Saccharomyces cerevisiae S288C: one gene and its partner. The protein of the gene in region 1 binds, or shares a complex with, the protein of each later gene. Each region holds a gene or a part of one and is shown on either strand. Other genes may lie near its edges. The genes, in order: IML1 and NPR3.

Evidence for each region.
Region 2: IML1 (region 1) and NPR3 share a complex: the UniProt entries of both Saccharomyces cerevisiae proteins name them as parts of the SEA complex.

Annotation. Positions count from the first base shown.
Region 1 is NC_001142.9:682,975-690,113, reverse strand, and holds IML1 (GTPase-activating protein IML1), read right to left. Parts: upstream 5,548-7,139; coding exon 793-5,547; downstream 1-792. Other genes in the region: HOM6 (homoserine dehydrogenase), read left to right, coding at 1-669; MET5 (sulfite reductase (NADPH) subunit beta), read left to right, coding at 6,829-7,139. UniProt on the Saccharomyces cerevisiae protein: Component of the SEA complex which coats the vacuolar membrane and is involved in intracellular trafficking, autophagy, response to nitrogen starvation, and amino acid biogenesis.
Region 2 is NC_001140.6:58,441-64,403, forward strand, and holds NPR3 (Npr3p), read right to left. Parts: upstream 4,124-5,963; coding exon 683-4,123; downstream 1-682. Other genes in the region: RIM4 (Rim4p), read left to right, coding at 1-350; SPO11 (DNA topoisomerase (ATP-hydrolyzing)), read right to left, coding at 4,521-5,717. UniProt on the Saccharomyces cerevisiae protein: Component of the SEA complex which coats the vacuolar membrane and is involved in intracellular trafficking, autophagy, response to nitrogen starvation, and amino acid biogenesis. Mediates inactivation of the TORC1 complex in response to amino acid starvation.

The DNA of each region.
Region 1 (7,139 bases):
GGTTTTGTCTATCATGAAGCTACCGTCGGTGCTGGTTTGCCTATCATCAGTTTCTTAAGAGAAATTATTCAAACCGGTGACGAAGTTGAAAAAATTGAAGGTATCTTCTCTGGTACTCTATCTTATATTTTCAACGAGTTCTCCACTAGTCAAGCTAACGACGTCAAATTCTCTGATGTTGTCAAAGTTGCTAAAAAATTGGGTTATACTGAACCAGATCCAAGAGATGATTTGAATGGGTTGGATGTTGCTAGAAAGGTTACCATTGTTGGTAGGATATCTGGTGTGGAAGTTGAATCTCCAACTTCCTTCCCTGTCCAGTCTTTGATTCCAAAACCATTGGAATCTGTCAAGTCTGCTGATGAATTCTTGGAAAAATTATCTGATTACGATAAAGATTTGACTCAATTGAAGAAGGAAGCTGCCACTGAAAATAAGGTATTGAGATTCATTGGTAAAGTCGATGTTGCCACCAAATCTGTGTCTGTAGGAATTGAAAAGTACGATTACTCACACCCATTCGCATCATTGAAGGGATCAGATAACGTTATTTCCATCAAGACTAAGCGTTACACCAATCCTGTTGTCATTCAAGGTGCCGGTGCCGGTGCTGCCGTTACTGCCGCTGGTGTTTTGGGTGATGTTATCAAGATTGCTCAAAGACTTTAGATCAGTAAACAGACATATAAAAACATAGGTATATTTATATATAAATAGATAACATTATGCTTTACTATCCACGTTCGAATATTATTTACTTTGTGAAGAAACTCATCCATGTCATGGGGCTACTCAATCTTCTACAATCTTTCCTGTAATCCACATTTCCTTTGCGTCAAGGAAAATTGACCTTAACTTCTGATAGTCCAAGCAAGTTGATTTGAAATTTAGGATCACTTTTTGAGCATCTAATGAAGAGCTTGAAGCAGAATGAATTTTCCCGATTATGTTTCCCGGATTCACTCTGGATATATAAATGTTGTTAGGAGCTAAAAATAGGCAGCCATTTTCCCTCAATTCCGCGACGTAAGCACCCGTATGATGAATATATTGAACATATTTGAACTGTGGTTTGCCCCATGAATACATGATGTCAAACTCTATATCTTGATTTTGTAAAAATTTGGATGCCCTATTGTCTAATAAAAACCCAGATGCCTTTAAAAGATAAACGTGGTAGTAGAATTTGCTTTTAGCGAAAAGCTCCCTATCCTTGAACTCAGGATCTTCCCAAGGATTGATAGCTAACTTAATTTCCACAAAAGAGTGAAATGGATTGACCGAAGGGATAGTACAAAGTTCTTCCCAAGGAATTTCAATCATTTTCAAACCGTACCTTTCGCATAACCTTGACCAGTTCCCAACCAAATCATCGATCAATTTTGGGGTGGTAGTCAACCATTCCAATCTTATGTGAAAACAGTGGTCGGGGTTATGAACTCTGTCATAATGGACTGTACACGATTCTTGTTTCGAGGATTTTCCCGCGGGATCAACATCGATAACAAGAGAGTTACTCAGCATTAAAATAGGGCGTGATGGCTCTTTGGCGTCAGCAACTGAAGCATTCGAAGCGCTTATAGCAGGTACTACTGAAGAAAAAGGAGTCATAGCGCTTGGATCGTTTGAGCTACCAGTGGATGCTTTTCTCAACATCTGCTTTGGATCGGATAATGTAGAGCGATGGGAGTTTGTTTTTTCTAGTTTATTAGTGTCCATTACGTATTCAGGTGAGAACTGGTAAAAGTAGTGCCCGTCCAAAAAATTGTGCTTATTTAAAACGTGAACAAATAATCCCTCTTTCATCACCTTCTGCCCATATTTAATTGCATCTTCTCGAGTATCTATATCAGAGAAGTTTCTTATGAGCCAATTAACCATCTCCGAGCCAACAAAACACTTTTCATGCTTTTTCCAGTGCCATTTTCTGTTGACTAAAGTAATGCGATCTTCGCCACGTTGAATTTGATACGCCAACTTGGATAGTTCTACATTTCTGTTTAAAAGGTTATTATCATTAACAAAAATTGAATCTTTAAAATTTATAGCCGAGCTTTCTAAAGATGTTTGTTGCTCATTAATGAAGTTGTAAAGCGGGCCGGTGTAAAACATAACTTCAGGCTGTATTTCTTCTCTCTTAGTTTTTCTTCCTTTTTTTTCTTTCTCTGTTCTTAGTCTTGACCTCGTTATTGAGCCAATTAATCTTCTCAAACCCTCGACTCTGATTTCTTCTGGGTTTAAAGTTTCGCTTTTACCATTGATAACCATAGAATATGTGTTGGGAGGGATATCTGTTGGTAACACCACATATTTAGCTCGAAATCCGTGCCATTTCCTATCTATTAAGTTATCGCCATAACCTGCTAGAACCTGATCAATTTGATTCCAGTTCAAAGATTCTCTTTTAACATGAAGTGGGTCAATCATAGCATCACGAAATGAGCTCTCGTATCTCGTTTTAACCAACGGAATATAACTAGGAACCTGATCAAACAAGTTTGCTTCATCTTTTCTCAAATACCTCTCCACATCAATAATTCCACTTGACGAGCATGTTATTCTGTGTATTTCAGAGTCGATCATTAGATAAAGTTTGAACGCATCATTTTGATTGAAATCTAAATACTTGTTGACTACAGTTTCACTTTCACCACTTTCCCTAGAAAGTTCTATTTTTTCTACTTGTCGGCCCACGCAGATTTGAAAACCAGTTAACAGTCGCATATAAATCATATCACGAAGTAAGTCTTTGTATGTCTGATTATATTGTTCTTGATCTGTGTTTAAAGTCACTGAGTGATTTCTGAAGATGAAGTTCCTATCAAAATCATCCTTGGATGGAAAATCAGAAATTGTGATTGGTAACTCTGCTGGGGTTGTAAAAGACCTCCATTTACTATATTTTCTGGCCACATATTTTGGCCATACATCTTTCCAACGTATAGGCAATAATTCGTTGGCAAATTCACTACTTACCGGAATGGAAGGACTTTTAATATCCACCCAAGTTTCACTTATACGATGTTTCAATTGCTGTGTGAGGCTATAAGTGTTCGAGTCATCATGTTTTGATTTTTGCCCTTCTGTAATGAAAGCAGCCTTGTCTGACATATTAGAAAGTTTAGAGGATGTTCTGGTATGTGATGAGCCTAAATATGAGGAGGGTGAACCACTCATGATTTCATTACTAGGTAGCCCAAAAATGGATAGGTTTTTCTTTATTATCAAATTTCCACGTTTACTGATAACGTTTTCATCTGCCAGGCCTTTTTGTTGTAATTTCAGGCCACTTATTTTACTTTCAGAAGATGGTAGTGGTGTATTTGAACCTAAAGGTGAGTTATCCACATCATCTCTGAGTAATGTTGACTTTATTTTTTTATTTTTACTTGTGTCTATGTTCGAAATAAATTTTGTAATTACTCTTTGAGTAAAATCTTTCAATGAGTTCCTTTTGCTTAGTCCTTTGAGCGAATCCAGCGCCAAAGATGTGTTTTGGTTATCAGCAGATCTCACAGAGACCAATGAGTCATTCATTTCGAGATTGTCATTGTTAGAAGTGGTGGGAGTGCTAATTTTATCATTTGTAGTATTACAATCATCATAAAAAGAGGCCTCTATTGTTTTTATTGATAGATCTGGTATTACGTTTGGTTTTTGAATATCCTTAATGGCTGGGAGAGCAACTTTTGGACCTCTCCATATGAATTTTGTGTTACCGTGTGTTGTTGTTGCTGTTGCCGGGATTTTCCTTGCCTTCACAACAACATCATTCTCGAAGACGGTATCAAACTTTGAATTTAATTTCTTAGATTGTTTCGTATTAGAGCCAGCGCATAAAATTTTCACCTCGAAGGCATTTTTGTCGTAATCATTCATAAACTCGGATAGTGATTTGACTTTCTTGTTCAGCTGTAAATATTCAACATCCACTTCCCGAATTAACTCATTTTCAGTAATCCCCATCATTTGTAAGTCATAAATTTTACATCTTGGAGTCCATTCTGAGTTACTCTTTTTGTCATGATCATTCCAAAAGAAAACACTTAACCAAAGCGGTACACAATGATGAAGCTTGTTCTCAAAGTCTCGGTACCTAAAAAGTGGAACTATGTGCAATGGAGCTTTTGAAAGACATATTAAATCCATCGTCATTTCAAGAGAGAGTAGTTTTTTTCCTGTTAGCCTTAATAAACTATAATCAACGTCAAATAATCCAGACCCTGGTGAAATAATCATGACGTGCGTTGTAGTGTGTCGAAGATCTAATTGCTTGAAAGGATCCGTTAAAATTGTCGTGGCAAAATTGACCAATTCGAGAAAATTCGACTTGATTACAGGTGAAAATCTTCCATTCGCTACACTGTAACCCTTATCCGTTTGCTTGTTTAATAAATCTTTTCTGATTTCCATAAATTCTTCTCTTAATGTTTCCATAATATCAACCCAATGGATAATACTGACTTGATCTACAACTATCCTAAAATAATCCTGTGAATTTTTCAAAGATTCGCCGGGTGTTAAGTCCTTGAATGATGTATCAGACAAGTCCATTGATATAGCGAAGGCTATAGTGATAGTATGGTGGGTGTCCACATCTTTCCATTTTTTGAAGATCTTCGGGAAAAATGAATTAACCATCTTTTGAAATAATTGTTCACCAGTTTCTTCGAAGTTCCACATTTCATCAGTTATTTGAATCAAAAAAATTAATCTGGCAGATTCGGACCGAAAAATTATCCTTGTTTGTTCGCCAATATATCCAGAAACAATCTTCTTACCATTTCGATAAATTCCCTTAATAGTACCTCTGATAGAGTCTAAGAATGCCAGTCTTTGATCCATAAACACACATGTATCTACCAGCTTAGATGATAGAACCCACATATCACCTCTATTTAGTAGGCAATCTTTGATATTAAACTCTACCACATCTGCCTGTAAGTCAAATTTGTTTGGTTTCAATTTTATCCATATCCTAGACCTAGAAGGCAAATCTAACAAAGTTTGCAGTTGACCCGAAAGTATTGAAACATTAGATGTTTTTGCCCTTCTTTTAGTCTCTCCGTCAAAATCTTTTGCAATAAAATAAATTTTCTTATCTCCGTTCGATGCAGATGGATTTTTGTGATATGTTTTCAATTCTACCAAATCACCAGGTTTTATATCCGGGAACTCAACTAGATTTAGCATCACTAAATTCTCGGAAAATCGGGACTCATGATAGCCTAATTCAGCTTGATACGCCTTTATTTTCAGTCCTGGAATATGATGGCGATGGACCCGTTCCCCATTGTCATAATTGTTGTCACCACCATTGTTGACGTTATCGTCATTTTCCTTATTTGAAATCAGCTTTCTGCCGGAAGCCCTTTGTTGAGAACCAAACTGCTCTTTCTTTTGTCTTAAATTTCTATTGGAACCTACTATCAAATTACCCGATGATAAGGATATGCTATTTGCGTGAGTAGTATTGCTAGTCCTTGGAGTTTGTGAATTGATGGAAGAAATTGGTCTTTGTTTCTTCCCATGCAATTTAGCGAACATCCTTAAAAAGTGTCCCTTGTCAGTGCTGAGTTATTTCCCTGCTTAAAAAGTAGTTACAGAAACAATTCGTTGTTCTGTCACTTACTATCTTTTAAACAATAATGATTAACATAGATAGTGATTCAAATAGTCACGTGATCTCTTTTAGAGAAAGGACTTAATCCGTACACAATGATTTAATTTTTCATTACCTTATAATGTGATAGTCATAATAGCAATGAAGGATTAGTAATTACCAATATAAGAGCTCTAGCACATTAGCTATGAATTTGTCAGCCGCACCAAACTAACATAAAGGTCTTACTATGTTAAAAGTTCTTGTCCTTGAATAGAAATAAATGAATGAATCTAGTACCCTTCCCCATTCACCTAAGTTGGCTAGCCATATTTTCGGAAAAAGAGTGGGAGGAACAAGATGCTAGATAAACAAATATTCATGTTATTAAGCTTAGAATTTTGGCTCTGTTTTGTTTATTTCCAGATTTCTATTTTCTGCTATTCATCCAAAATATATTTTCTCACAAAAGCTGTTAATTTGAAACTAATGTTAAACAAAACATCTCACTTCAAATTGAAGCCAAATTAGAACCTAAGTAACCAACACACGCACAACTTTCATCCCTTATCCCACTTCTTTGAAAACTTTTAGAAGCCATTGATGGTATTGTACATTTACCTATCTTAGCAGATTCCTTATTAGCCGCCGAAATGGGTAATAAGTATTATAATCACTAAATACGAAAAATTTATTCATACCAACCCGCAACATGAACTACAAACCTTTGGGTATATAATGACAAAGACGTATCAAACCAACACATAAGGCTATTTTCAGGCAACTAATATGCTGTTTTATCTGCGGAATTTCACCAACTGACTTTTACTAAGCACTCAATAAAGATGCAGGTAAAATACGTGGATTTATGAATCCGGGTAATATAATTTGTCCACGTGATATTTCACAGAATGAATTTCATCACGTGCGTATTATCTCTTAACTCATAATGCCACAATTACCACCACACAGAGGCAGGAATGGTTTAACTGCTAAGAGACACTGGAAAATTTGAGTCATGGAGATGCGACGAATTACTGGCCGCTGCAAGCAGTTATATAAAGTGTTGGAAGACGATAGTTTTTAATGTGAAATAAAATTGGGATATAGAAAGGTTCCTTTGCTTGTTATTTTTTTTCCATCGTCTTGATATTTATTCAGATCCCTTATATACTAATAAAGTAACAGTAGGGAACGGGAACCAGAGAAAAACAAAAGATTGGCGAATGACTGCTTCTGACCTCTTGACGCTCCCACAATTGTTGGCGCAATATTCCTCTAGTGCTCCCCAAAATAAAGTGTTCTACACTACTAGCACAAAAAATAGTCATTCATCCTTCAAAGGGCTAGAATCTGTTGCCACAGATGCTACTCATCTATTGAACAATCAAGATCCATTGAATACCATCAAAGATCAACTCTCTAAGGACATTTTAACTACCGTTTTTACAGATGAAACTACTTTGGTCAAATCCATCCACCATCTATATTCTCTTCCTAATAAACTTCCATTGGTGATTACAGTGGATTTGAATTT
Region 2 (5,963 bases), on another chromosome or scaffold:
ATAAAAAGCGCTATGCAAGGAGGTCAAGCTACGGATACAATGAAGTACCTCCAAAACCATACTATTTCCAGCCTTATTACTATCACCCCATGCAATACCATATGGGCCCAATGGGCCCATTGCATCCTTCTCAAGGTTCTGCTGGAAATCACCATCCATATATGATGGTTTATCCCATGTCACCACCTCCGCCTTCTGGGTTAGATGGAAGCATGATCCCTCCTCCAATAAATGTAAGCCAATCACATGCTGCTAATCATGGCAGTACCCATGTTCATGCGAACGAATTCATATCAAACGATACTGGTGACATAAATGAAGATAACAAAGCTTATAGTTTAGATTACTAAAAATGATTGGTCGTAAAAGCTGCAAAAGATGTATGTAATTCAGCGGTGATGTTAACTTTAAAAGTGCAGTTTCGTTTTCTTTTTCGTCTCCCTATTTTTTTCTCTGGATCTTTTTTTTTTTTTTCACTTGGTATTGTTTTCATCCTTCTTTCCTTCTTTTACCTTCTTTGTCTCCTAATATAACAATACATACTTTCGAGTTTTGATTACAAGTCACTCGAAATGTTTTTTTCCTTTTATATATTCTTCCTTTTGTCTATTCTTATATACACATATTTTAATTTTTGGTAGATTTTTTTTTTTTTACTTACATTTTGTTACAATAGAGAGATTTACCAATGGTGTATCTCGATTAAATACTTATCTAGAGCATTGAGCAATTTCTTTAGGTCATGTCTGCTAATTTCCTCTTTGATGATAACCAATTCCATGGGGACCTTTCCATTGAAGTACTTGAGCAACTTGTTAAAAAGAATCTGGATATCTGAAGGCTGACCATAAATACATCTATAAAGCCATCTTTTTTCAATCGCAGTGGCTCTTTCAGGTTCCAAAATTATAGTATAGTCATGTTGCATTTCTGGATCATCGTATTCGAAGTGTAGTATTTCTTCTTCATCCGCAATAGCTATTTCATTGTCATCACGATCATCAACACGACTATCATTTTCGTTATCTTTTTCGTCCACATCTTTGTTGTTGTCGTTGGACTGCATGCCTTCATTCTTTCCTGAACACGCTTCGCTGGCGTTTGCATCTCTACTTTGCCCATCTTCATCATCCAGCTTTTTATCAGTTTTTTTGTAGTCCATGCTGGGCCTTCTAGCAGTATTAGTCTTACGGAAGCCTTCCTTTTCTAGATCCTCATCTACTGCCATTTTTATGTGTTTGTCCACTCGGATATTTATGAAAGTCAATAATTGGGTTACATACCCGTACTGTATTAACCACGCTAACGCGTTCAGGTAAACTGGCTTATGTTCCCTTGATGGGATTATGTTACTGTACGCTTGAGGTTTGTCCGTGGACAACAAACTTAAAAAAATGGGTAAACTGGGCAATGATGGGAATTTGGATCTGAACAACATCGAATTTTGATAAATTAGTGGTACTCTGTCGCTTCCACTCTTATTATTTTCGCGATCGTCCATTTTTTTCACGTTCCCATCATTTTGTGAAGTACTTTTATAATCATCTATTGTATAACCTTGAATAGGAGCCAAGGGTGAAACAATATACGTGTATTTGGAGCTTAGTGGGATCACTATTCTTGCATGTCTCCAATACATTAAATGCAATGCGCAAGAGCGCAGTATGCTTGATTCCAATGAGTTTGTTTCTGTAGTAAGGTCGTCCAGTGAAGAAGGGTTATCTAATAAATCAGTTATCAGATAGCGATACGACCTTAGAGGGATATTTGGCTGGATATTTCTGACTAAATGTTTCAATATGATAGTGCCAATATCGTCCTGGTATGAAAAAGTTTCGAGGGAGCTAATAATATTATTTGGCTCGTCCAATAATAATAGCGCATAGTTTAAAAGGTCATCATTGTCGTCGCAGTAGTAATTGCTTTCATTGTCGTCCCCGTCATCCACATTTGCTGCTCCACAGTGGCCGGTACTATTAATATTATTGCCAAACCTGTATATGTTATTATTGGTATCACTGAATTGAGCCTGATCGTTTTGACGATTTTGACTTTCAATTCTCAATGATGATTTTTCTAAAAATTTCATGTTCAAAATGGACGTCAAATATGAGCCTCTTAGCACGGGTTGCAGTTTGAAGTTTGGCATTTTTTCAAACTCGTTTTGAATCGGGATTTGCAAGGAAATTACTTTATCGTCATTGATCTCAAGACATGCGATTTCATTTCGTTGGATTTTATCAACACATTCCGTTAGCGCCCTAGCCAACGAAGATTTGGCTAAAATTCTTTGGTACAGATACTTCCCCTTGTTTCCTGCGCCTCTTATAGATTGGTATGTTTTCGAATGTTTCAGTACCCGTTCTTTTTCCTTTAAAATTATATGGCATTCGCTAGAAATGTACGAGGTTTTTGATTGCACATATCTTAACAATAATGATAACCTTGTAACAACAAACTGATACATGTCATCAATCCTTTTATTATATTCGATTAAATGCGGATTCATAACAAAGCATACATGAAACATGTTCATATTTTTGCCCAAGTCTTCCTTTTCTCTCTCAAATTCGTTTCCACTGACATCAGTATTTATCCTCAAATTCGGCGTATCAGTAGAAGCCTCATGACCAATATTACTGTCATAAACAGTGTCAGCTTCACCACTATTAACTTTCTTCAAAGTATTCTCACTCAGTGATGAAATTTTGGAAGCGATAGATTTCTTTCTACTGATGTTTGTTGTAGTACTCGAAGATCTTTTAGAGCGGGTTTTATTTTTGTGCTTGGATTTTCTCCATCTGCCTTGAGAATCTACATGAATAGGTAAGCCTAAGAAGCAGAAATTATCCACCGTGAATTCGAATCTGGTATTGCACATTTCCCTCTCAGGGCTACAAAATTCTGCAACAAAATCATTATCAAATTCTAGAATTTTATTTATATCCTGGAAGTTTTCCTCTTCAAAAAAAATTTCATTCATAGAGATTTTACCATCCTGCAACATTGCCGAAACTTCCATGTCTTCTTCTTCAACATCGTACTGGGTATGGGAATTTCGTTGGCTCGTCGCGGCATTTTTATGATAATGGTGGTAACGATGGTGGTAATGATGAGGTGATTGGCCAGGAGTGTCGTTCAGGCTACTATTACGAAGTTCTTGGTTATGCTCTCCTGTACTCGATAAAGATTTTTTAGAAGAAATTGAACAACTTCCTGTAAAAGCATTTCCATCAGTCTCATTGGACGTATTTTTTAACAGTTTGTTGCCTTTTTTAGTGCTTTGTGATGGCTTAGATTTAAGCTTTCTTACTGGAGAATGTGTTTTTGAATCAGTACTCTTCTTGGTACTCAATTTATGGAAGAAATTCTGGGATCTCTTGGAAGCGGCCCTTGATTTGTTATTAGTCCCAGAATCTAGATATGATTCCGCTACTGAAATACTATCGTTTTCCATTATCATTTGTGGTGAAGTTGGAGACATTGAATCCGTAGATTGGAAACTCGAATTAGTTCTTGATAAGCCATCTTGCGGAGGGGAAGATGAGGATGAACTTGAGGGAGAAGAAGATAAAGAAGATGACGATAAGGAAGAAGATATAGAAAACGAATCGCTAGAAATGTCTAAGTAGTCTGTGGACAATTCGCTGTCACTTAATCCCGATGATGACGTTTCAGATTCAGTTTCTTGGTATTGAAAAGTCCGAGAAGTATCTTCGATATCGGTTTTTCTATAACCTACACCATTAGTAGCCGCAGGAATTGAACTTTGTGATCCTACAGTATTAGCATGCGATCTAGTTGGAGGTAATGTCACATTATTAGTATTAGTATTTGTCATTGATGGCGTAATAGCGGTATTGTAACTTTTCGCTGACTCGTTTAGAGCAATTTGAGAAGCTGTTTTCGTAGAGCCAGAATTAAAGAGTTTTTCTTCTTTATTTGTACTTGTGTTTTTATTTAGATTTGCATGGTTTCCATAGAGGTGCTGATGCTTCGTTGGATTATTTGTTAGAAATGCTGTATTGGAGGGTGGGTAGTGATAAACTATTTGTGGCCCCGAATGCGTTGAAATGACGAGGTGAACACCTAGTAGACATGAATTGGGTAAACATTCATCCATTGAAGCTTAGTTTCTACCCAAAAGATGACTCTGTTCCCTTTTTTTTTTGAATTTTCTTCACATTTCAATAGCTTATCTATGTTTAATGGTATTTCAAGATATCACAAGCGAAAAAGTTACTTAAGAAAAAAGACTAGTGATCCTTACATGGCTTATAACTCATTCACCATCGAATCATTGTAAAATCATATGCCATCTTAGTATAGTGGTTAGTACACATCGTTGTGGCCGATGAAACCCTGGTTCGATTCTAGGAGATGGCATTTATTTTTTTGAAATTGTATTTTTTTTTGGACTAGTATTCATTATCAAAGATTTCAATTTATATAATATTTAAATGTAACCGTTTTCAATTCTTGAAAAACATTTTTTATAAAGCAACAGCTCCCATTCTTATTCATTTGTATTCAAAAATTCTGGCATCAATCTCGTTCATTTCAGCTTTCTTTTGGAAAAAAATTTCCCGCTGACATTCTATGATGACGTTCTTTAATGGTGAAGTTGCAATATCCCAGCTGTTGGCAGTCAGAGATGCTATCAAATTCTTGGCTAAGGAGTAGTCGCGCTGATTCAAACTCAATAATTGAATGGATTTGTTATGCACTTCATTATTTTGTGCCAAAACTTGCGTAATACGAATTCCTTTATAGTTTGCCATCGTGCAAATATAAGCGTTGCGTTCATTCGAGTGAGTATAATTTAGGGCTATGCTAATCCCATAGGGGTCCGCATCGGTAAATATAGAACAGTCCGATATCAATTTGGAGCAATATTGTTCTAGTTTTTTTAGGAATAACCTTGTCAAGAAATCTGGAAATCCCTTACCTGTAATGAGCATGGTATTTGTACTCAACTTGTGATAATTATTTACTAATTTGGTGAAGACAGCTTCTTTTTCCACTATTACAATATTACACATACTTGTTGTCCCTAACTTGATGACCGCATCATCTTGGAAAAATGGAATTAGACAGGGCTTACCAGGGAAAATTGTTTGCTTTTGCATCTTTGGTTCATTTTCACATGTCAGAATATTGTCATAAATATCAATGGGGAAAGGCGAATAAACTAAACCCTTTTGAGCTGGTATAATGTTTAAGGATTTTCTTGGAGAGAGCTTGAAATTAAAGCGTATAACGTCCAGCCACTGGACTACGTTTGCTTGTCTTTGAAACAATTCCACGTTGGAGTAGAAGATATCTCTCACTGTAGTGTTTTTACCTAGCGGTAATTTTTCCATAACGACTTTCAATAAGTTTAAAAGGATTGCGCATCTTTTCAACTTGAACTGATGAGTGCATAGATGCGGGCCATTCAAAGGGAAGTCCAATGTTGTGTGAATGTCAGGACTGCTTGTATCGCCTTTTTTTTTTTTGTTTTGAAAGACGATTGAAATAGGCTGTTGATGTTGCTCTAATGAATTAGCCGCCAATGACAGGAAATGCTTAATATGAGCCAAAACATCTGCGTTTGAACAGGGAGTTCCGTTGGAGTGACCATTGGAGTTCAAGTGAATGGACCGTCTTTTAGGAGTGAGTGCTTTGACCAATTCCTGCCTTGTTTTATATTTTTTCCGCAATCCCTCCAAAGCCATGAGAAGGTGAACTTAGTAAATCGTAAAATCTTAAGGGTGAAGACAAATATGTGAGGTTATTTGAATGATATTTAGTTGGATATAATCACTAAATAAAGTAGATTTTCCTTGGGTAGTAGACTTTCTTTTACGTTATTCCTTTTATAATTTTAATTTTAGTTATTGATTTCAATGAAACAAAAGGAAACTGACGGCTTCTTAAAATAAATATATTTAACATGAAACATTAAAAAAAAAATTGTCACT